Nothobranchius furzeri: one gene and its partner. The protein of the gene in region 2 purifies or fractionates together with the protein of the main gene of each other region. This does not show direct contact. Links are inferred from orthologs where the notes say so. Each region holds a gene or a part of one and is shown on either strand. Other genes may lie near its edges.

Region 1 (12,000 bases), on a different chromosome or scaffold from region 2:
GCCTCTCCTACAGCCTTCATCCACTCTGCTGCAGACTGTGAGAACTTTCTGTCTTTCTTTGTGGACAAAGTCAATAAGGTTAGATCTAGCATCTCTCCTTCAGCCTTATCACTGCCTCTCCCGACTCCAACCAGGCCCATCATCCTAGATAGCTTTGCTCCTGTTTCTTTGCCAGAGTTAACCAAACTAGTTAACTCTATGAAGACCTCTGCATGCCCCCTTGACATCTTACCCTCATCTTTGTTTAAAAGTGCTTTTCAGTCCATCGGTCCCAGCGTGCTCTCTATAATTAATGCTTCTCTGGTCTCTGATCAGGTCCCTGCTTACTTTAAGAACGCTGTAATCCACCCGCTTCTTAAAAAACCGAGTCTTGACCCCTCTCTCCATAGCAGCTTCAGACCCATCTCTAAACTTCCGTTCATCTCCAAGATCTTAGAAAAGGTTGTGGCTAAACAACTCACAGCAGCTCTTGATGAACATAACATCTATGATTGCTTCCAGTCAGGTTTTCGTAGAGCTCATTCTACTGAAACAGTTCTTCTTAGGGTCTCTAATGACCTTCTGACTTAATGATGCAGGGGACTGTTCTGTTCTGGTCCTGCTGGACCTGACTGCAGCTTTTGACACTGTGGACCATCACCTGCTACTGGAGAGGCTGAGAGACTGGGCAGTTCTATCAGGAACTGCTCTGGAGTGGTTCTCCTCCTATCTTTCTGAGCGTTCCTTTTCTGTGGCCATCTCCAAGTTTAGGTCCTCCACCACCTCCCTTACCTTCTTGGAAAATTAACGGGTTCTTAACCTCTAACCGGAAGCCCGTTAAACATCAAGACCTCTTCATGGCTTGTGATAACCCTAGCGACATCACATGACATGCAGATCTATTGGCGTGAAGTCAAAGGTCTTTCTCGTGTACCCGGAACTGATAAGGATCTGATTGCAGACTCTCTTGCCAAACAAGGTGCAGCTGTTGGTACCCCATGGTCCTTTAACCCCTTGTGGCTCCCTGACAGTGTGTCTTCTCGGTCAAACCCACCCCGTGTGTGTGTCGTGACTTGAGCTCAGGCCGTTAACGCGTCCACCTCTCGACCGTCCGATGGTTTTGAGTCTGTTCTTCCTGTCTTTTCTGAAAACAACCTTGTCAGTCTTCAGTCCCAGGACTCTGATATTAGCAGGATGATCCTGTACCTTTCTGATCCGACAGCTCATCTGCCTTCTCCTGTCAAGCTTGACTCCGTTCCTGAGCTATGGGCTCTCTTTCGTGTTCGTGTCATTCCCTCTCTAGGTGTTGTTAACTACAACGGCGCTGTCAGAGTGACCAGTCGATCCACAGCCTCCAAGGTCAGTGACACCCACAGAGTCTGTGTCGTCTCTGCAGCAAGATTGCTTCACTCGGGGGTGGGAAAACCACCTAAAGCTTGGTTTATGCTTGACGCATTCACTTTCCGCTTGGTGATGCGGCTCGCGGATGGAACGCGCTTCACAACTTGCAGCGTTTATGGTTCATGCGGCTTGTCTCTGCGGTGAGCTAATATTCTCCCAAACTGTAGGGGGCAGCATAGAGCTCTACGGCATGCAAGTAGAAGTAAAAATTACTGTTGTTTACAACATGTCATTCCAGCATGTTTTAACAGCGTCCTCGTCTTTTCCGACAGTGCGAGCTATTTCTCTCCAAGAATTATTAACAACGTGTTGATTGCGATGATCTTTGAGAGCTGAATCATACAAATGTCTGTATTTACGAACCTCTGCCATACTAGTTCTTGCCAGTCCGCCTTGTTTTTCCGCGTCCGACCGTCCGCATGGTTAGAAAATTTCCTAGGAGCGCGGTGCGGAAATTTTGGGCAGTGCGGAGGCGCTGTGGAGGGGCGTGGTTGTTAAAATTACGCAACCTCGCGGATGCGTCAAGCATAAACCAACATTAACCTAGGGGAGTTTGCAGTGGCACTGCACCTGAGACTCCGCACACTGGAGTGGGAACACCACCTGCCGAAGGGGGAGTTGATGGTGGCGCCGAGACTCCAGCTGAAGCCCAGTACCTTGCGGTGGGGATGCCACCTGCCGAAGGGGGGGGGCTGACAACATCACTGACCCTACTCCTACAGCTGGTGCTAGTGACCTCTAGACCTGACGTTGGTGACTCGCCTACCACAGGGGGAAGGTTGAATGCCACCCTGTGACCACACTGGCTGACCCTGATCTCTGACTGCACCTGCGAGTTGTAACGTCAATAAAACATTACGCTACAGCGTCAACCGAGGGCCCTCCAGAGAACACACCTGCGCCAGACACGTTCTGAGACATTGCATTCACCCCAAGGATGTAATTTTCACTTTAGAAGTGGGGGGGACACGGGGGGGGGGGGGGGGGTCTTGACAGTATGCTCTAATGGGAAACAGGCTTCAACACAAACGGTTGTTTTCCGCTTGGTCCTAGAGCTCAACCAGTGCCAATTTAATATAGCGTAATAGTTTTTGGATGATAAAAATTGCAGGGGTCAAAACTTGACTTTGGAAAAAGTGGGGGGGACATGTCCCCCCTGTCCCTCCCCAAAATTACGTCCATGATTCACCCGCAAACAAACACTTCATATTAGATTCATCCAAACACAGGGTTGCTTTTTTAATACCAAAGTCTTTTTAATATCAAAGTCTTTTATAAATTGTCATGTTTTATAATTGTTTTGTAATAAATTTCTTAACCTTCTTAAACTTGACTCTTTCTTGAAATAAACACAGAGTGGGTGTACATTGATCACTGAACAGGCAAAGATCTTTAGATCTTCTGAATTAACAAATAATCTTTGCTATTAAATTAAATCTTTAAAAATAAATATTATAATCTTTTGATTAAACATAGACCAAGCAAGTTGGTGTATGAATTTATAGCTATTATATTTATATATCCATATATAATCTCATTCGTCAATTTGTTTGATCTTAGGAATTAAAATATAAGCTGATAGCAATGGCCTTTAATTCCTATGTTTAGGTCATTAACCCTACAGTAACATTGAATCATCTCTGGTTTTGGTGTTTAACTGGCTTATGCAACATGTGGTGATCTCTCCTCACATCAGCATGGAGCCATAAAAACTCTTCCAGACAGAACATCACTTTATTTAGAAGTAGGGAATATAAAAATATATATGGAGTAAACTAAGGAAAGATGGGCAAAGCGGGCAGATCTAAAGGCTCCTTATGCTAAATAAATGGGACTTGTGGTATAGCTAGTTTGTGCTGACACGCAGCGGTCAGGGTTGTACAACAGCTCTTATCTATAGAGGGGAAGCCAACATACTCACACTGCTTGTAAACTTCATTGACATTTGAGAAATCATTGATGTCAGCGAGAAGCACGGTGGTTTTAACAACTGCCAGAAATAAAAGTAAACTGCATGAAGAACATCTGCAGAACAATGGCTTCTACACAGAGGATCGCCTCACCGTTCTCATAAGTGCATCCAGCCATTCGGAGGATCTCCCCCATGTTCACGAGAGCCTAGGAATAAAACACAACAGACTGTTGCAACACATGGACCTGAACTTTGTCCCATGAAGAGCTAACATGATCCTGGTGACACTTTAAAGCCAAAGCACAGTCAGAGCAGCTGCTACGTACTTAGCGGATTATTTTGTTCATACGACTGAATGTTTGGATAGTTTTACATCTGTGCAGAGCAGCTGTTGTGTTGTTTTAGATCATTCATTCACTCATCATTCATTGGTTTACTGTAAAGAATGTTTTCCCACACAGCTGCTGGTTAACACTGGTTGTTAAAGTAAAGTCATGCTAAAAAAGTTACTTTCCAGAATACTAAAGTAACTATAGCCACATCTCAGGTGTGCGGGTGTGAAATCAGCAGATGGACGATGACACCTGTCTGGTTTGGGCCTGAACACCGCCTCCCACCAGCTGGCCGCTGACCGGATCCATCCCCAGCTGTCCTGATACATACACGCTCCGATCAACCACCACTGCTTGGCTTAGAGACACAGACACAAGACTATCTTTCAAATACCTTCCACCTTTGACATTTCAGTCTAGCGCTTTACTGTTGTCAGAGGAATATGTAACTCTGATGTGGCAATCATCCTGGTTTTAAAAGTATCTAAAACAGATGGACTATTGTGGTAAATCTGTACATACAAAGCATGTTTAGAATAAACAACAGTGACCTAACTGAGGGTGATCATAAACAATAACAAAATCCACGATAGTCCCAGAGGATTAAAATCAGTTAAAACAAACAAAATAATACATCAACAAGAAAAATAAAATACAATGAAAACTGTGTTCAAGTAGGCCTAGTGAACTAGACCGAATTATTGCTTAGCAAAGTTTGCATATATATTATGTTATGCAAATATATATTAGAATATTAGCATTAGAATATGAAAGGTCATCAATGCATCATCCTTTAAAACTGATCTAGAACACAGAACCTTCACTGAGCTTTTAGATCTAGATTTAGAGAAAATAAAATTAGTTTAGTTGATCCCTAAGAAAAATGTTGATACTGGATTTGAACATTTCATCAGAAGTTTTCCACAAAGGTACAATTAGCTCCAAACTCTAACAGCAATAATTACATTTTAACATTTAAACTCCTTCTTGAGCCACAATCTTATCCTGGTGGAGGTTGAGTACTATGATCCTTAGGGTTATGTTGGCCAGGAGGGTTCTGCTCCCAGCTGGGTCACCCGAAACTAACAAACTGGTCCCAGGTGAAGGGAGAGACTAAACTCAGACTGGTGGTCCCCTGGTCCAGGATTCCCATAACCTCTTCCTCTTGTCTATATATATTCTAGTCTGGTGGTCAGGTCCAGATCTACTGTATGCAAAAGTTGTAAAAAAAAAAACTTTTCCAAAAGAGATGCATACTGAGGCGGCTCTGCAGTGTAGAAGTATATAGAGTATAAGAAAACCTCAGATAACTTCATCTGGATTACACATTTTAGTACGTTCATGGAAAAAATGCTCTAAAATGCTATCTTTTACTGTTCATGAGAAAAACACTTACTGGTTCAAAATAATATAATAATCAAATAGTTTAAGCCTGAGGGAGGATTTGTATGTCAGTCTACCCATGAGAAGCTTCTTCAGCAGCAGTAGCTTGGGAGGTAGAGCAGACTGTCCAGTAATCAGATGGCTGAAGGTTCAATCCCAGCTCCCAACAGAGAATGCTTCTGTTGTGTCCTTGGGCAGGACACTTAACCCACCTTGCCTGCTGGTGGTGGTCGGAGGGACTCGGCTCTCTCTTTACGACAGATTGATACAACGCCCGCATCACTGCAGACGCAGCACAAATCCCCCTATTGATCTCACACTCCATCTTTCCGTCACTCGTGAACAAGACCCCAAAATACTTTTAACTCCTCCAGGCAGGACCTCATCCCTGCTCTGGAGAAGGCATTCTACCCTTGACCCACTCAAGATCATGGTATCGGATTTAGAGATTATTTTTCATCCCAGCAGCTTCACACTGGGCTGCTATACAAATACAGGCCATGTACCATTCCATTATGGCAACCAATAAAACCATTTATGCGTGACTTACAGCATGATGGACTTTAAATGCTTTCCCAAAAGAGCTGGATCAGTTTTTATTTACAGAAATAGATCTAGACATTCTGCACAGCATACATTCTTTTGTTCTTTCAAGACATGTAGGCATGCCGCTATGATGCTGCAAATAAAGTCTCACAAAAGTGAAAGTGGCAGTGAAATGAAAATTACATGTGGTGCATTTTGCATGCAGAAAGATCTCCGTCCCTCAGAATCCGGCGGTTTGAAGTGGAAAAGGGATTGAGGCGTTGGAGTTGATGCTGTGAAACAGGCTAGTGTTGAATGTCTGCAGTTTTTTGAGCTGGAAAACTTTGAACATCTCCCGAGTCCAGTGTGTACGTCTGCAGCCTGTTCTGTGTGGCTGTGTGGACAATATGAAGCTCCTCTTCATCCAAGTCCTTCAACAGAAGCAGAACTGCATCAAGTGTATGAGTCTGAAAAGACAGAGCATTCAGGTTTTCCAGGTTTAAGTCAGATTCAACACAATGAGGTTTGAAAATGGCGCTACTGACAAATGCTACCTTTCTCATTGTTGGTCTCTCAATGATGGATGGAGAAGAAGGAGAGGAGAACTTGTCCCTGGAGAGAGGCTTCATTCCCAGTTCTTCTCTGATTTTGCTATAAAAACAACAACAACAAAAGGTTTATTATTGCCTCAAATTGTTTGTATATTGTTTATTTGTTGTGTTCTGGTTAAAAACAATTAAATCCCACTTGGTCTCCTCCATGTTGTAGTTAAGTGCATCGTTCTCTGTCTCTGCTTCTGGAAGTCCGTTGTTGGAGAGCTGGTTCTGGACACTACCTGGAGGTGTACTGACCTCTTCACCCTCCATGAGAGCGAGTGCGATCTCACCCTCAGTCACCACTGCACACACGGAGTGTCATTCATAGATGAGCCGTTCAAAGATTGTTCTGTAACCTTCAGTTATCTAGCCTGGCGTCCTATATATGCAGAGCAAAATCTCTTGCCATTGCTACAGTTGGTCTACATTTCTAGGCTGGAAGTTTTAAAGATTCAAAGTAAAACTAAACAACACCTTTTAAGAGCTATTAGAAGTTATGGCATGTGATTCTGAGCAGAAGATGTGCAGCAGCATCATAAAATCACCCTGATTGTCGAGTTTCTGGAGGCGAGGGAGACAGCGCAGCACAGTGAGGCGATACTTGCTCGGGTCATTTCCACAGCATGGGTTTTCAGCCAACCAGAGCACTCTGAGACGTGTCAGCGGACGCAAATGACACAATTCAGAGAGGGACGGAATCATGTTCCTCCTCAGGTAGAGCTCACTCAACGACAGGCAACCAGTCAGAGGAGACAGAGATGCGACGCTGTTAACGCTGCAGGCAGAGAAAACATCACAAGACCTAAAGGTGTGCCACCATCATGTCAGAACTAAAAGGAACGTTCTAAATTAAAGAAAAACTGACCTCAGTGTGAGCACCTCAATGTTGGGTACCTGACAGAAAATAGATATCTGAAAAAGAGACACTCATTCATGAACTCATACAACAACAATGGGTATGATGGACTGTAACAAAGCAGAGAGCAGATTTACATCAAAAATGAAAAATCACTTACATCTGTCAGGCTGCATCCCCTGCAAACACACGCACACACACGCGCACACACACACACACACACACACACACACACACACACACACACACACACACACACACACACACACACACAAAGTTACCACAATGTAGAGCAAAAAGACAGTAACTCACAGCTCGCCCTGACATTTAGACACTTACCAGCAGTTAAGTTTCCTCACACTTTGCAAGTCGGAGGCCTTAGCTTTAGCAAGAATCAGCTTCCGTGTTAGCTTCATGGCATTTCACCAATCTTAATCAAAAATAAGGATATTTTAATTACGTATGCTTATTTTAACAACGAACAAAGGTCGCATAATGACATAGTGGACGGACAAACGTATCATCTCAGCCTCAGAGAAGTGTATTCCACACACCGTGAATGCGCATGCGCCCAGCTAATGAAGCGTCCTTAGTTACGCCTTGAAAAAAACATCTTACTGTTTGTTTTTTTTGGTCTGAGGTGTTTGTCATACAGGCGTAACATGAAACATAGTCAATACTATAGAAATGAATTGTTATGTAAAAAGAAAATGTAAGACTAACGTTTGTGTTGAAAATCATTTCCTTCAAAAGAAAACTCAAAGTCCCACAATGCCCGAGAAGGACTGAGTAAATCGCGCCTGCGCAGTGAGTACTCCCTCTTTGGACCTACGTCTCTACAGAAACCATGGTGAGGTTAGCTCTCTCCCGAACAATCCTTGTCAATCTTATGATTCCCGTGTTTTGAGTGACACGGTGAATCCTTCGAAGGCTTTGTGGTGCCCCTTCTAGTAAATCCTTATGCTTATTTGCGTGATTTTAGAGATTATGGCAGTAGAAACGATGTTTTTAATGTCCCATTGAGACAAAAATGGCTGCCGCCATAGCTTTTTTAACCGGGTGGGCTAGTCACTTCGGCTTACTGTCTCACTTCCCAATTCTCCATTAAGCACATTTCAGTAGGTACTGCTGTTACGGCGATATGAAGCGACATGGTTCTACAGTAGTAGTTATGTTCATACTGACCGGAAATTTCGTAACTAGAAATGAAATTTGTGGGGAAGCTTGAGTTGATCAGGTAGTTTCACTCAAGGTCTACACACCTCAGATGAAACCTGTTCCCATGTATATTCTGCTTAGCTAAATTTAGCACTTTAATGTAGTTTGTGTTATGTTATAAATTTCTTAATCTGTGAAGACGGAATCAATCCTACGAATGGCACATCTGTAGGAATGTAACCGATATTATTTTGTTTTGTCTTCAGGCCAAACGCACCAAGAAGGTGGGGATTGTTGGTAAATACGGCACGCGTTATGGCGCGTCGCTGAGGAAAATGGTGAAGAAAATTGAAATCTCCCAGCACGCGAAATATACCTGCTCTTTCTGTGGCAAGGCAAGGTTTATAATTGTGTGATTTTGATATTAATAACTTTGCAGAGTGTGATCTTGATGCATAGATGTTGGTATGAAGTCTGAACTGTGTAGTAAAATGTTAGTGTTGTACTTCGAGAAATTTCACAAAAATGTTTCTGTTTGTAGACTAAGATGAAGAGGAGGGCTGTCGGTATCTGGCACTGTGGGTCCTGCAAGAAGACAGTGGCTGGTGGTGCCTGGACGTACAAGTATGTATCACTTTTTTTCCTTTACCGCTTTCTTGTTTTTTCTGCAGATCATAAAACTGTCCTAAGGATAGTTGTGAAAGATCTTCACTTTCTGAAAAACTAGTCCCACATTTTATTGTCACTAAGCCATCCTGGTGTTAAAACAGTTATATCTGCATAGGCATTTTTTAATGCAATTTAGGCCATTTAAAAACGATTTTGAAATAGTTTTTTTTTTTAATTTAATTTAAACACGCTCGTTTGTTTTGTTAATGACTATACACAAATCAAAGTGAGTTAAATGACAAAAAATTACAAATTATCATGATATATTTCAAGTTCAAAGGTACTTCAAGAATCTTTGTATTTAGTAGTAATTTTTTAGCCCAGTGAAGAAACAGTTTTAAACAGTTTTCTTCTACCCACCTGCCTTTCAGGTCTGTGCAGACTTTTGTTTTTGTGCAAAAGGTGTTACTTACACCACTTTAGTGGACCATGACAAGCCTTTTAGAATGCCTAGTTAACTGCAGTTTTCTGTTCCTTCTCTCATCATTGCGTGTGTTGCTGTACAACCGTAGTACTGCCTAGTTTACCATTCTCAGGTTCCAACTAGAGGTCGACCAGCTTTTTTCTATTACTGATGCCGATATATAGGAGATATGGTAAGCCAATGGCAAATGTTTAATGCTGATTTAATTTTCCACCTTAATTTCATGCTAAAATGTCACTAACATCAGTTGATGCACACAATTTCTAAAGCTGAATCTGTTTAACTCTGAATTTAACTAAAGTCAGGCATCTAAATAAAGTTAATTTAGAGTATTTATTACGCAGAAGTTATTAGTGAATGTAAAAATACATTAAAAATAAATTCTGCAGCAGCACCGGGCTGCCTGAGGATGTGCCTGACTTTAAATCGGCTTTGCTAAGGACAAATATCGACAAGTACAGATGTATAAAACCAGCCTGTCTGCTCCTAGCTCCAACTTGACTCTGCACTGTTGGATGTCAGTGCAGATGCTAATTGTGGGAGCTTTGCGGTCAATAGTCGCTTTTAGAAGGCATGCCATACCGGCAAATCAGTATTATACAGCTGCCATGGTGTGTCTTATGAGAGCGCCGTGGCGGCACAGCGATGCAGGGATTTTGCGACATTAGTGTCACCATGCTTGGTAGTAATATTAGCACAACACTGGACTTGTGAATTACGCCTTGGCGCAACTAAGGGTGATGTCACAATCGCATGTGGAATTACTACAGAGTCCCGGCCGGCAACTATATTGTAAAAGAAAAACCACGGGTTGTAAGTTTGGCTTATTTAAACGGTATCGGCTGTTTAAATAAGCTGGAGCAGTGCAGAGCTCTGGAAGCTTCTTTCTGTTAGACTTCACAGGGACTGAAGTACAGACACCTTTAGAAAGAAAGAAAACAATATTTTATATATCGCCTCTCAAGATTAAAATCATGAGGCTCTTCACATAAACAAAAAAAATTGAAAGTACAAAAAAAAGATTAAATATGTATAAAATGAGAAAAAAAAAATGTGAATGAAAATAAGGAAAGGGAAAGAGAAAACGAATAGGAAAGAGGGAAATTGGTGGATTGCGGGAAAGGTGGAATAAGGCTTAATATGACCGGTTCTGTTTACGTTGAAATACAATGCTTCCATGCATCTATGCAACAAAATAATACAGCTACGTGATTAACAATAGCAGTTTTTACAGGAAGTATGCAAATGTAACTAAGATTTAAACTTATTCACACTTATAATACTGTTGCTATTTCTGGGTGTGTCAGGATGATAACCAATACTACTCAACCCTACTCTGGAGAAGATGGGGCCTGTTTGGTCTCTTTCTTTCATCTAGACCTGCCACAAACTAATATTGCACAACAAACTCGTCCATTGAAGACGAGCAGTTTTACAGGGTCCCCACGCATCCTGGAAAACCTGGAAAATGGTTCATAAATTTTCCAGTCATGTAAAATGTCCTGAAAATGTTTAAGATGTCCTGGAATTTTTTTTCCTCCTTGGGTACTGGGCTGTAGCACTTGTCTGCTTTAATTTTTGCATGCAGCACAGCGTCCCATGTGACGCCACCAACCAATCAAATTGCTTAGAACAGTTCTGCTTCCCAGTGTGTCCATCTGTCTTTGTTGCTAGATTTACCAATGTTTCATTCTAAAGTAAAGATTTGTTTCTCCAAAGAAGAAAAAGATATTTTCTGTAGCGCCTCTAAAGATAAAAATCACAAAAACAAAAATTTAGAATATAAAAAGAAAATCGAAAATGATTAAAATATGTTTACAAGAGCAAAAATAGGCAGTTTTGATTAAAACTGTAAAGAGGGAGAGAGAAAATCGGAAAGAGGAAAATCTGTGGATCCTGAGGAAGGTGGAATAGGTAGGGAAAGCAGAATAAGGAGTGGTGAAGAAGGTCATACAAAAGCCAGCTTAAACAGGTGAGGGCCAAAGCTAGAGACTTTCAAATTCCATTTTTGGTTCTTTTTTAAAACACAGGAAAGGTTTGTCTTTACCTTGCCGACAGTTTCGTTTGCGGACTGCAAAACATCCTCATAGCTGACGCTGATGGTGGCGTCACTTCCTACTCCGTTTATTCTAGCGAGTTTCAGGTTAAGAGTGCGGCTGTATCGCAGTATATCCAGTGAGGGGTTTTTCTCCCTCTCTCTGTTAAATGGCAGAGGAGCAAACAGAGCTCTGTAGTGTGTCGTCACTATGGCGACCAGAGCGGTAGAGTCGCATTCTTATGACTTTTCTCACGTCCCCTAAATTGAAACTCATGTCCCGCATTATTGACAGTCTCCTGTTTCGAGTTTAAGTCTAGCATAAACTGTGTGGAGAAAGCTGCCCGTTGCTGTCAATCAAACTGGGGGCGGGGCTTTTATGCAGGTTCAGAAATGTATTTCCATTAATTGACAAACAAAAAACAGTTAGATTTGTTAAATCAAATTAATTCAGTCCAAAACACATAGCTCATCAATTTATTCCATTATACAAACCATGCGTCTTGGTATGAGCAAATGCAATTAATTTGAAAGTTTGGTCATATTTTCTAAAGTTGGTGACTGATTGTGAATACCGCTTGACTGTGAGAGTTTGGACTTTTAAACTGATATCAGTCGGTAAAATAGCAGTGTGTGAACTAAAGTAGAGAATCACTTCTGTTGTAGTTTAGTTGCATTGCAAATAAAAGAAAGCAGATGGCATAGGGAGCCTAAGTCACGCCCATCTATT
Region 2 (11,649 bases):
TGGGTGAGAGACTGCAGCTTGGCCTCCTGAAGCACTCTCAGCACCTGACACACTGGACTCGCTCCCCACACCTTCCTGGGAGCTTCTGCTTCTAGTTCACCCATCTTTATGACCTCCCCCACCGTTTGATCTGTGAGGAACCACGTGCAGAGAGATGATGAACACGGACAACAAAATACAGCAACGGTTCACAGGAAGTGTGCTCTTCCTCTCACTCTTAGCAGATACTTACTGATGGTGGTGATGCACGTCTCCTCTAGGGTTTGCTGCGCTGCTGGGAAAACAAGTGGAGTACCTGCCTCCCACTTCTTCCTGTCCCCAGCAGAGGAAGGTCTGTCCTCTGGTGATGCTGAAGAGGATAACATATGGAGTTTAGAGTGAGTGTCATTTAAGACGTGATGAATATGTGGTATAACGTATTGTTTATTGCAATAACTTGAGTAGTTGCACTGAAGAAGATCTGGAAGGGCTTGACCATGGCACAGAAAGATCAAATCTATCTCCAGTCTAAACTTACTGTCCGTCGTGGGATTTGTCTCCTCTAACATGTGAGGAGGCTCAGGCAGAGCGGGGAGCTCTGCTGCTTCCCATTTCTTCCGGTCACCATCCAAAGTGGGACTTTTCTCAGCGTCAGACTGCTTCTGCTGGACATCAGGACTTGGTTCTGCAGGTGCAGGTGGAGACTCCATCTTGTCCACCGGGTTCAGTGCCTTTAGGTTCTGGTTGAGTCTGTTTAGAATCTGCTTCTTCTCACTCTGGTGGAAAGAAAACATGAAGGTTGGTTCAAAATAATTCATTTTGTTTGAATATGTAGAGGAAAATAAATGAAAACACCTGAATCGCTGCTGCTGTCTCTGGTTCATGCAAGCTTTCTTTAAGCGGACTAATCTGCTGAACAAAAGGGACTAAATGAATACAGACAACAACTGCAGGCTCAAACAGTGTGTGTATTATGTACGCATACACTGATGGCTCCGACGTTCTTCAGAGCAGCAGTCATGGATATAGCCGAGGATGAGGGCTGGGCTGATGTTTTGGCAGTGTGTCCTTGCTGGGGGTCCCAAGGTTCTGGAGGTCGAAGGTCAGAGACAGGCGATGCTTCTGCTACAATGCCCAACTTCACACCTCGAGCTGCAGCAAGCTTCAGTGACAAGCAGCACAAATATTAAACTTAACTAAATTAAAATGTTCGGTGAAAGTTTTAGTTGAGCAAAATAAAGATGTTGTGTTTAATAAATCATGAAGCCTACATGGTCGTCCCAAGCTCTCTTTTCCCTCTCAAATGCTTCCCGTCTCTTCTTCTCCAGCTGCTCTTTCAGAACAGCGGCTCGCGTGTTGGCCTGAGCCTGACAGGAACAAACATAAACAAACAAACACAAAAGGGTCAAACCTTTCCCAGTACACCTCAGACCTTCTAATGCTCATCAGAGCCACCGCGTAAGCCTTGAGGTCAGAAGCTTTACACCATGCATACCCACCTTTAAAACCTCTATTTTCTTTCTTCTGAGCTCGGCCTCCTCACTAGATTCTTGGCTATCAGAGCCATCGCTGTCATACTAAAAAACACAAACACCAACTATAACCGGGAGCCTAGAAGTCTGAGAGCATGAAGCTGCTTTCATTACAGGCACAGGTAAGACTATAAAGGTGTAGGAAGTACCTTCTCCCCTCTCAGTCGGGCTTTGATCTGCTGACGCTCATTGAAGTTCTGCAGTCGGATCTGCCTGAGTCTTGCCAAGTACTCCTGAGAACAAGTACCCATGTTGAAGTTTACTACTAATGGATGCAAAAACTCCTGTTTATACATCCATTCACGCATGCACACAAACTCATGCATTTGCAACTCATGAAATTAGTGCACGGGTCACACTTGCAAACAAGAATTCCACAAAAAGGCATTCGTTAAATTCAAATGAAAATCTGATTACAAAACTGGAATGAGTATTTGAAATGGAAAACAGCCACTGCTGGGTTGAAATAACCAGCTCACACTGGACAGCCAACGTGACTGAACTGTTTGTCAAAGGGAGGTTTGTGCAGACAAACTGGGCGGGCCATAGGTGAGACGGGCCGTAAAGCCGGGCATTCAGGTCCGGGCTCCTACCTCTTCCTCTCGGTTGACTTTGGGCCGCCGGCACCGAGCTGTACTGGCCCAGCTTCCATAGATGGCAGCCATGTGTGGTCGAGTGCCCTGTCCAGCATTCAATGTAACCACGCTTTAGAAAGTGAAGGTCCTAACATCTAACAAGCATGGTTAGAGAACGGCTCAAATTAACCACCCACTGATGGATGTAATCACCTCAACCCCTTTAACACTGCACGATAATCAGAAATTAAACCTAGTTTATTTTCTACGTCTACACAGAAAAAAGTACTTTGTAAATTATTAGAAAGTGCTCTTATGTATTCACCTCTTTGCTATGAAGCCATAAAATAAGACTCAGCCCTAACCCTCAGCTCACAATTACCTTAGATTTAATTAAAAGGTGCAATCACACCAAACCCTCTAAAGCAGCACTAAAAGTAGACCAATCCTGGATTAGATTTACTGGATTTGTTGCTTTTCAAACAACCAAAGCACTCACAGTATTTGGAGCTTTTTAAGAGTAAGAATAGCTTTTTTGGTCCCTCAGTGGGGAAACTGCCTTATTGCAGCAGCTCAAGGACAGAGGGTGACAGCAGTAGCACAAAATATATCACACGAGAGTATAATTGTAAATGAAGATAATCGAAATGATTATTGCACATAATGATAGTAATATTTTATGATTTGATGTTTCCTCATAAAAACAAAAAAACATGCTTTTGACTGCATTGATGCACTTTCCTGTTTCAAATGCAAATTTTGAGTTTTAATTTGAAAATCCCATAACACGTCAGTGGAAACTAAATCTCATCATCAGGCTCTGCTCCTCTCCCAGAAGCTAGTCTCTGGTCTGAAACCCGTCTGCCCTGGCCAGCACAGGACATGGGCCTTAAAGGAGACTGGCATCATGTAACAGACGTGGTGGTCCACAGGTGTGAGTGCTAGGCTGGCATGGAGCGTTGCACAGGCGCACATCCCGATCCGAGCACCAACCTTGGATCATTGTTTTAGCTACACTTGCCACTATGATTTCAACACTTAAACTATTTAAAATATAAAGGCTAATAAATGAGCATAGAAAGCAAAAAATTAAATAAAATACAATAAAATAAAAAGAACGTTACCAGCGTGAGTCCATGTGAGGTGAGCAGAGTACGTAAACTAAAACTCTGCTGGGAAACGACCAAATTCTAAAATGTTTGGACACAAAATATTTTGCAGAAAATAACCCATAAGATTAAAATATAAAAACATGAAATCTGTTTCAGCTGGCTAAGTAAATCAGCGCAGACTCCACCAGGACTCGAACTGAAATCAGCACATGGCACAAATGAGCTGCCAGGCAGACGCCTTAACCACCGAGCTTCCATAACCAATACACCCACGGACTCGCCTAAGACGCTGTGGTACGGACATTTTGTCAGAGTGGGCATGGGCGGAGTTTCACTGAAAGCCTTTTATCGCTGGGTTTAAATTCAGGCTGATGAAAATAACTTGTATTTAAGATAAATGACATCTCAAAATTGCCAACAGTAATATTTTATACTGTGCCTATTTTTGCTCTCAAAGGTTTAAAATAGCATGATTTGTAACCTTTAACTCTAAAGAATGTATAAAATGGAATTATTGTTTACAGAACAACTTCTAGCTCCATACATCATTAAAATAGGTTTGATGACAGGACTCTTCATCACAGCAAAACCACACTAAAGCAGTGGGTGGCAGTATCATGCTGCGGCCTAACCCTAACCCTGCACATGAATAGAGGAAAATGCAAACAAATCCATCCATTCACTTATCCTGTAATCACACACACACACACACACACACACACACACACACACACACACACACACACACACACACACACACACACACACACACACACACACACACACACACACACACACACACACACACACACACACACACACACACACACACACACACACACACACACACACACACACTTAAGGCCAATTTTGGACAGCCCAATCAACCTAACAGTCATGTTTTCGGACTGTGGGAGGACGTCGGAGCCCACTCCATGCAGAAAGATCCCAGGCCGGGAAGCGAACCCAGGACCTTCTTGCTGCAAGGCAACAGCTCTAACCACTGCGCCACTGCGCAAAGAAATGAAGGAATTTTTACTTCAGTCTCAAAGAATTGAGATCCTTCTTAAAGGTTTCAGCCTAAAACAACCTTAATAAAACAAAGAGATCACATTCTTTGTCATTTTTATCTTTAAAATAGTTTAAAATATTACACTAATGTTTAAATATCAGCAACACGTGTCAAATATAGACGTCACCTCCAAACCCTGTGTGTCTAACCTAACAACCAGTTCACAACGGGTCATTTCTGAGCCCAGGAGTAAAAAGATGGTCAGCCATAAGAACGGTGCCTTCCTACGTACCAGCTGTCCTTCAGCTCTAACTTTATTAAGCATGGCTTCCTTCTTCCTCTGTAAAAACTCCTTGACCTGAAAGGTCCGCTCTGCAGCCATCTGGGCCCGGCCCAGCCTGGAAAACAGAACACTGGAACGTTGAAGCAAATAATGCATTTATCATTTCTTTTTATTGAGATGCATGCGCTTCAGCTCAACTCACCGACTAATGTGGGCTTGTTTTGAAGCATGCTGTAACTTCTGTAGTTCTCTTCTGATGACATCATGATTCAGGCATTGAGTGGGGCTGTTGGACAGCACTGGGCCTGCAGCAGCCACACCACCACTGGAAAAACACCAACAAAGCTTTTACATTTATCTGATACAACCCAAACTGCAGTAAAGGAAGTGGAAAAACATGCGTTTACTGAACGGGACTGCCAGGTCCTGCTGAAGCGCCGTCCCTGCTGCGGTCTTTGGACTGTGACTTAGCCGTTTGATCCAGAGCAGCGTGGTAGTGTTCATACGGCCTCTTGTTAGGGATGGGGGCTGGGGCTGGAGCTGGGGCCAAATGGGAGCCTCGGACAACAGCGGCAACGCCTGCAGCGCGCTTACCCCCCATTAAACACTGGACACAAACATTTGCTTTGAGTTAAATAAATCAGAGCTTTTAAACACAGACATAACATTTTATGCAAGCTACCTTCCTCTCTGGGCTGCTACCTCCACTCGAACCCAGTACATGCTTCCATCCTTGTTCTCTGGCTTGGTTTATACGACTGATCTGCAAGAAATCCCATTTTTCACTTTTCATTCAGCTTGAATCATATCACGGCTTTTGTGGTCAGGGTTAGTGAAAGTAAAATATAAAGCTGAGCCACATTTCAGCCCAAAGCTATCCGACTCCACCTTAGCTTGTAGGAAAAGCAGTTTCTCACCTTTTCCTTCTCATACCTCTTCACTTGCTCTGCTTTCAACAGGAACATCTGGAAAGCAGAGAGTAGAAAACTACAAAGCTCAATAAATAAAAAATGAATACAAAGAAACTAAACTGAATGCTCACCTGCTCTTTCTGTTTTCTTTCTTTCTCCGTCTGTTCCATCTTTTTCTTTCCGATTCCCGCCTGTAGAGGAAAACAGGCGTCACACACAAAATATGTTCTAGAAAATACGGCTGAGGTTGCAGGGCTGCTCTGTCACAGGGAAAGGTGCTTAATGAAAAAGCTAATCCAAGCAGAGCACTTGTGTTGGTCTGGAGTGGAAAATGGGACAATCACGCATAACGGGCGAGGGGAAAACTGAAAGTGGTGGTAACAGGACACCCAAGTGTGTGTGTGTGCGAGAATGATAGAAGACGAAGGGAGGTCTAACGGGGATTAAGGTATACGGGTGCTCAGCTGTACCTCGTGTTTTTTCCTTTCCTCCTCCCCTTGACTCGGTCTCCTCTGAGGGGCTGCTGGGTTTGGGGCCTGAGCAACATACGACATGTGGCTTCAGAGTTAGCCGGCACAGTGTGATGCCACAACACTCAGAAACAGGCCCATGGGAGCCGGATGAGATTCAAGACAATGAACTTAACCGTTGATCAGCCTAAAGAAAATGACTGACCGGTTTGTGTTTTACAGCAGATTTCTTCTCCGATGAGCTCTTGGCTCCAGTTAAAGGCACTCCATATTTGGAAGCTGGTTTTGTAATTTTCTGGGCTGGAGCATCAGAGTGTGAAAAGAAGAGAAGCAATTCAGTCAAATAAAAAAACAATAACAGCTTGCTTTCACAGCACATAACATACAATAACTACAGTACACATAATATCCCTAAAAACATGAGGTGTAACACAGTTTGCCTGTCCTGCGCCGGCCGACTGCTGCAGCCTGGTGGATGAGACGAGTACATGTCCACACCTGTTAAAGCATGGACTAGCCCACGTAGCTTAATGTGACACGTAGTTCTTCTGAATTTGACCTTTCTTAAGGATTACAGTATTTGTGTTTTCAGAATAGGGTTTAAAGCAAGCAGCTGCATAACTGAGTGAAGACAAGGGTCGGGGTCATGAAGCAGGATTAAAGTCCGACAGCGGTAACTCCAGACTCATCTGGAGGTTTCACAAAGCTGTGTCATGCCTCTGTGGGACGCATCACCATAGCAATTACTGTAAAGCTTTGGTTCATTTCAGGGCTGTGGTGTGAATTTTGACACCTTGTTGGTTGGAGTTTAGGACTCACTGCAGTCTTCATGCTAAATCTGAGGGATAGGACAAGGAACAATGCTAGAAGTTATTAAATTATTTCCCACACACACACGTTGTCATTTTAATAAAACCAAAGCAAACTCATTCATGTCTCGATCATGTAGTGCTGACAAAATAACCGATTTAGATTAAACTCACAGAAGAAAATCCCTGAACTTGCATCTATAACAAATTACATTTTTGCATCAGCCTGATTCAAGATGGCGGTCGCAGCTACAGGATATTAGAAAGCATGGCTTTAGTCAATTTTACAGATGATGGTCTACAACAGCTGAGCATCCTTTACCACATGTACTTCAGCGTCTACCTGATCTTATGATAACGGACAGTCGTTTAAGATTTGACAAAAACTGCTTGAACGTATTTACTCCCTCAACACGAGGTGGTTTTATGTTTAAACCGCGAAAGGCAGATTGGGATTTGCATTCATTTGAGCAACCTAGGCCTTCAACACGATTCCAGATCTTTTCAGTGATGGACACTGAAGCACATTTCCTTATAATTTATTCTTCTTCTCTTCTCCAGGTGATTTTTGAGGATTGAGATATTGTTTATTTGTTTCCCTACCAACAGGTTTTAAATGCCATTCATGGCAACTGTGACAACTGAACTTTAAACTGTTCCAGAAGTCAAAGCATCACCTTACAACAGACTGAGATTCGGGCAACTGGTTGTAAAGCTTACTTAGTTCATGTCCACTAGCTTCTCTTTCAGACCTTCTGACCCAATTTAGTTATTTGTCTTTGATTACATCAATAGCAAAAACCTTTGGACTCTAACGTCATGAAGAGTAAGGCAACATTGTGCACGATTTTAAATTTATCCAATAAGGTAACATTAGAGAGGATGAGACGGGCAATGCTGCACAACTTCACCTACCTGATGGCACTTGTGCCAAACCCACTTTAGGCTGCTTGTGAAGAAAATGATGGCGGAATTCCTGAGCGATGATCTTGGGGGGGGGGGGGGGGGGGGGGGGAGACAAGCTTTTTTAAATGACCAAAGTTTGGTTTATAAAGACAAAGAAAGCATAGTAAAAGATAAAATCAAATCTACCTGTGGTGTGAGAAACTTCTCTATCCTGCAGAAAAGGAAAGGCTTGTCCAGTACGCTGCTGACTGAGGGCCTCTCTCGGGGGTTTCGTTTAAACAGCTGCGCCAAGAGAGACCGCAGTTCTTGGGAGTAGTGAACAGACACAGGAGGGAATGAACCACGAATGATCTTCAGGACCAAGTTCTTCATGTTGCCAGCTTCAAACTAAAAGGAAACACACACACACACGACTATTTGTATAATGAATGAACATGTTTAAGACAATAGAGTGGAAATCAACAGCACGACATTTCTGAATGTCAGATTTGAAACCAGAGTGTTTGCAGCCAAGAGCAGAATATATGAGTGAACACTGCAGGACTACAAAGAATGCATTAAAATGTGCACCGATATGTGAACAGCTTACACACAAATACTTACTGCATGCTTAAGAGTGCACATTTCATAGAGGACACATCCTAGGGCCCAAATGTCACTGCAGAAGGAAGGACAGTAGGGAAATAAGGTACACATGAACAGGCAGGGATGGCAGTCAGGGAAGGTTTACGTTCACAGAGTAGGCTATTAATAGTATTTAATGCATGTTAAACTGATTGGGGCCTATGTGAAAACTCCTGACTAAGCACTGGAATAGTTAGAATGACTAAAGTAGACACCATGAACACCTAAAACAGGCAAGGAAGAAAACAGTATTAGCTTTCTGCAGTATAAGTATCACGAGGTGACCATGCTGACATCACCAATAAGCAACACAATCCTGCATGAACTCACTGTTAAGAGTGCGGATATGAGGACTAAGAGGTTCTAATTTAAAGAGCAAGTCACCCCTACCAGAGTCTAACTCAACTCCCACTTCCTGTTTGAAAAATGCAACAAATGCTGTTGCCTAGCAGACCGAGGGGGCGAAGCCACTAATAAATACACACACAGGCTCACAACGACATTGTGACATCACATGGTACCAGCTAACGTTCTAGGGTACCTCTTAGCCAATAGCGATGGCAGATTTAAATTCAAATGCAGTGCAGAGTTTTTACCTGACGACGGCACAACACTGACAGTTTTAGGCAGAAAATTTAAATTTAGACTAAAATGCACTAAAGTGCAAAACTACTGACGACACGTGTCTGCAGCGCGATTAGACATGCATTGATAATTTATTAGAAGACAAAAAAAGCTGATTTGGGCGTGACTTGCTCTTTAAATGAAGGAAACACCGAAACACTGTTGATTCAAACTCATCCATTACCTTTTGTTGTTGTATGGTTTGTTTTCACAAATCTCTGGTGATAAATAATATGGTGTTCCTATGCATGTCCTCGCAAGATCAACAGTGCTGAAAATGAGAGGAGAACAACGTTTTTGTTGTCTTAACAAGTTTAAATGTTGTCCTTACGAAAATCAGCAGAAGGCACTGAACACACCTATTCAAGACTCTCGCAATTCCAAAGTCACCAAGCTGTACGGTCCCATCTTTTGTCAAAAATATGTTCTGTGCAGACATATTGACAACATTAAACAAACAAATAAATAATAGAATAAATAGCCTGTAAACCACAGATGCACAGAAAACAGTACCTGTGACTTAATATCCCTGTGGAGGATTTTTCGATCGTGTACATGCTTCAGAGCGAGGCAAATCTGGACAAACCAATCCAAGATCTTGGAAAGACAGAAAAAGGGCAAACCAAACAAGGAGGTATCAAAACAGAAATCACCATCGCATAATTCATTTAACACAAACACAGCTATTCAAAAATAATTACTCCATAGAGTTACAGCATCAAAGCTTACCTGCTCTTCTGAGAACAAAACTCCTTTTTGAGAGTTGATCTTCCTGAAAAGGTCTCCACCTTCACAATAATCCATCACGATGTACAAACATCCCCCTTCTAAAAATTCGAAGTGATATTAAACACACACACACACACACACACACACACACACACACACACACACACACACACACACACACACACAGATTATTGTAGTACAATTATTGTATTTCATCACAACAGGTGAACTCTGAATTATGTAAATACCTTCAAAAGACTCCTTATACTGGACAATATTGGGATGACTCATGTTGGCAAGAACAGCAACCTCTCTGCGAGATTCCTGCCTCTCTTTACTTGACATCTATAAAATTATATACAACTCATGTAAATTCATGGATTAACATGAGGAGGTAACTCACCCATGGAAAACGTGAATTATGCAAAGCATCTTACACCAGATATGCCAATCTCCTTGATGACATACTGGTGTCCATCTTCTTTGGATTTCACCAGGATAGCCTTTCCAAATGAACCTTCCCCGATTTTCTTCACCTTTTCGTACTTGTCCATGTTACTAGATAGGCTGACTTTACATGCTGAATCTGGAAATAGGAAAGTTCTGGATGATCTCTGTCTCTAAGCTTTGAATTAAAAGTTAGAAAACAAATGTCATTCATTAATCACAATTCTACACTAGATAAAACAAAAAGACATGAAGGAGTCAGAGCAGTGATGCTGAGAGTCAACACTGCCAGGTAGCTAACGCTGCTGACAGCTAGCTAGACGATGATTGCTACAAAAAACAAGAGTCCCGCTCAAAACCTGATGATAAAAAACGACCCTTACGTATCAAAATGACAAATTAATTACGAGAATAACATTTAACTTACCATTAGTTCCTCCAATCCTTGGAGTTTTGAAGAGATTCTAGAAATCGCTGCTAGCCTCACGCTCGAGCTGATGACGATGACTTTCTTTAGTTTTCATTGGACAATTTGACATTTCTCGAAAAGTGATTGGTTCCTACAGCTGTTGATCATCTCTCATAACCAACCCCCAATAAGGTTGTTGCTGTGAACATTTCCCTTAGCAACCACCATACAATTACAATAGCTAGCCACCGTTGAGGGATGTCGTTAAGCTTCGGCGTTACTCACTTTTTTTTTTACTTGTCATGAATTCAGATACAGACATTCACACAAACTGTGTTTTTGTGACAAGCAGTGGCTAGATCAGAATTAAACTCGCTTGTTATGTACATACAACACAAGCGAGTAATGTTGATCTAGACCACTGAATAATTTAGAGTCCCTTCTGCTTACAAACATTCTTTTCTTTTAGCACGGAGTAACACATTCGTTAAATTATCGACGTATATGCTTGTTACGCGTTCAATGTTGATGAGAACATTGACTTATTGACCGATGCTGGCAACACACCCAAAACAACCGCCCCAATGATAAATTAGGGTCACGTGACTGGCTCACGCACTCCTCCGTGTTTGATATATTGCAGTCCGAGTCGATGCAGATGACGCAGTGGTGAGGACTAGTGAAGATGGCTCCTTTTCCAGACGAGGTGGATGTTTTTACTGGCCCACACTGGCGAATGAAGCAGCTTGTGGGTCTGTATTGTGAAAAGGTGCGTAGATATCAATTTAATTCGTTAATTTTGAGTTTTACAAATGAAACCGATCGTTTTTCTTACTAAAGGATGACTGAGCGCAGGTTAGCATGCTAGCTAGTTGATGTTAGCTGGTAGTGTGTTTAGCTGTGAACCGAAGCAGATGAACTGTCGGATGTCTGGATTGCTCCTACACACGGATTCACGTGTTTTTAGTTAGACTTGTGTGGAAATGCCTGAGTTTTACTTGCCTTTAATGTTGTTGTATCAGCTCTTTTGTAACCTACTCGAAACACGCCTCTTGTAGTTTTAGTTATGTTCCAATTAACAGAGCTACTTTGCTAATGGGATTGGAGAGCAGGTTGCAAGTTCTCTGCCAATACGTGTCAGACTAGCATATTTAGGTCACCACTGCAGATATTTCTGTTAACGCGGTACACTGTGCACAATTACGTGAAGCATCTGTTAGCATAACT

What was found.
Region 1: the proteins of nek1 (region 2) and cfap410 purify together in Homo sapiens (affinity purification with mass spectrometry; 3 studies listed by BioGRID and IntAct, with this or other methods). This does not show direct contact. The link is inferred for Nothobranchius furzeri from reciprocal best matches to the Homo sapiens genes NEK1 and CFAP410.

What each region holds. Positions count from the first base shown.
Region 1 is NC_091751.1:63,969,246-63,981,245, reverse strand, and holds cfap410 (cilia and flagella associated protein 410), read right to left. Parts: upstream 7,544-12,000; 5' UTR 7,498-7,543; intron 7,415-7,497; 5' UTR 7,401-7,414; coding exon 7,324-7,400; intron 7,164-7,323; coding exon 7,145-7,163; intron 7,041-7,144; coding exon 6,994-7,040; intron 6,904-6,993; coding exon 6,674-6,903; intron 6,431-6,673; coding exon 6,280-6,430; intron 6,184-6,279; coding exon 6,087-6,183; intron 6,000-6,086; coding exon 5,838-5,999; 3' UTR 5,577-5,837; downstream 1-5,576. Other genes in the region: 2-iminobutanoate/2-iminopropanoate deaminase-like, read right to left, coding at 3,201-3,370, 3,444-3,498, 3,877-3,982, 4,701-4,777; rpl37a (large ribosomal subunit protein eL43), read left to right, coding at 7,832-7,834, 8,409-8,537, 8,684-8,766. UniProt on the Homo sapiens protein: Plays a role in cilia formation and/or maintenance. Plays a role in the regulation of cell morphology and cytoskeletal organization. Involved in DNA damage repair.
Region 2 is NC_091748.1:39,057,788-39,069,436, reverse strand, and holds the start of nek1 (serine/threonine-protein kinase Nek1), read right to left. Parts: upstream 10,581-11,649; 5' UTR 10,441-10,580; intron 10,153-10,440; 5' UTR 10,121-10,152; coding exon 10,004-10,120; intron 9,912-10,003; coding exon 9,815-9,911; intron 9,665-9,814; coding exon 9,567-9,664; intron 9,435-9,566; coding exon 9,351-9,434; intron 9,265-9,350; coding exon 9,197-9,264; intron 9,109-9,196; coding exon 9,022-9,108; intron 8,248-9,021; coding exon 8,193-8,247; intron 7,977-8,192; coding exon 7,776-7,976; intron 7,672-7,775; coding exon 7,599-7,671; intron 6,175-7,598; coding exon 6,080-6,174; intron 5,941-6,079; coding exon 5,875-5,940; intron 5,596-5,874; coding exon 5,536-5,595; intron 5,459-5,535; coding exon 5,411-5,458; intron 5,257-5,410; coding exon 5,176-5,256; intron 5,101-5,175; coding exon 4,901-5,100; intron 4,819-4,900; coding exon 4,696-4,818; intron 4,609-4,695; coding exon 4,503-4,608; intron 2,192-4,502; coding exon 2,105-2,191; intron 1,745-2,104; and 15 more. UniProt on the Homo sapiens protein: Phosphorylates serines and threonines, but also appears to possess tyrosine kinase activity. Involved in DNA damage checkpoint control and for proper DNA damage repair.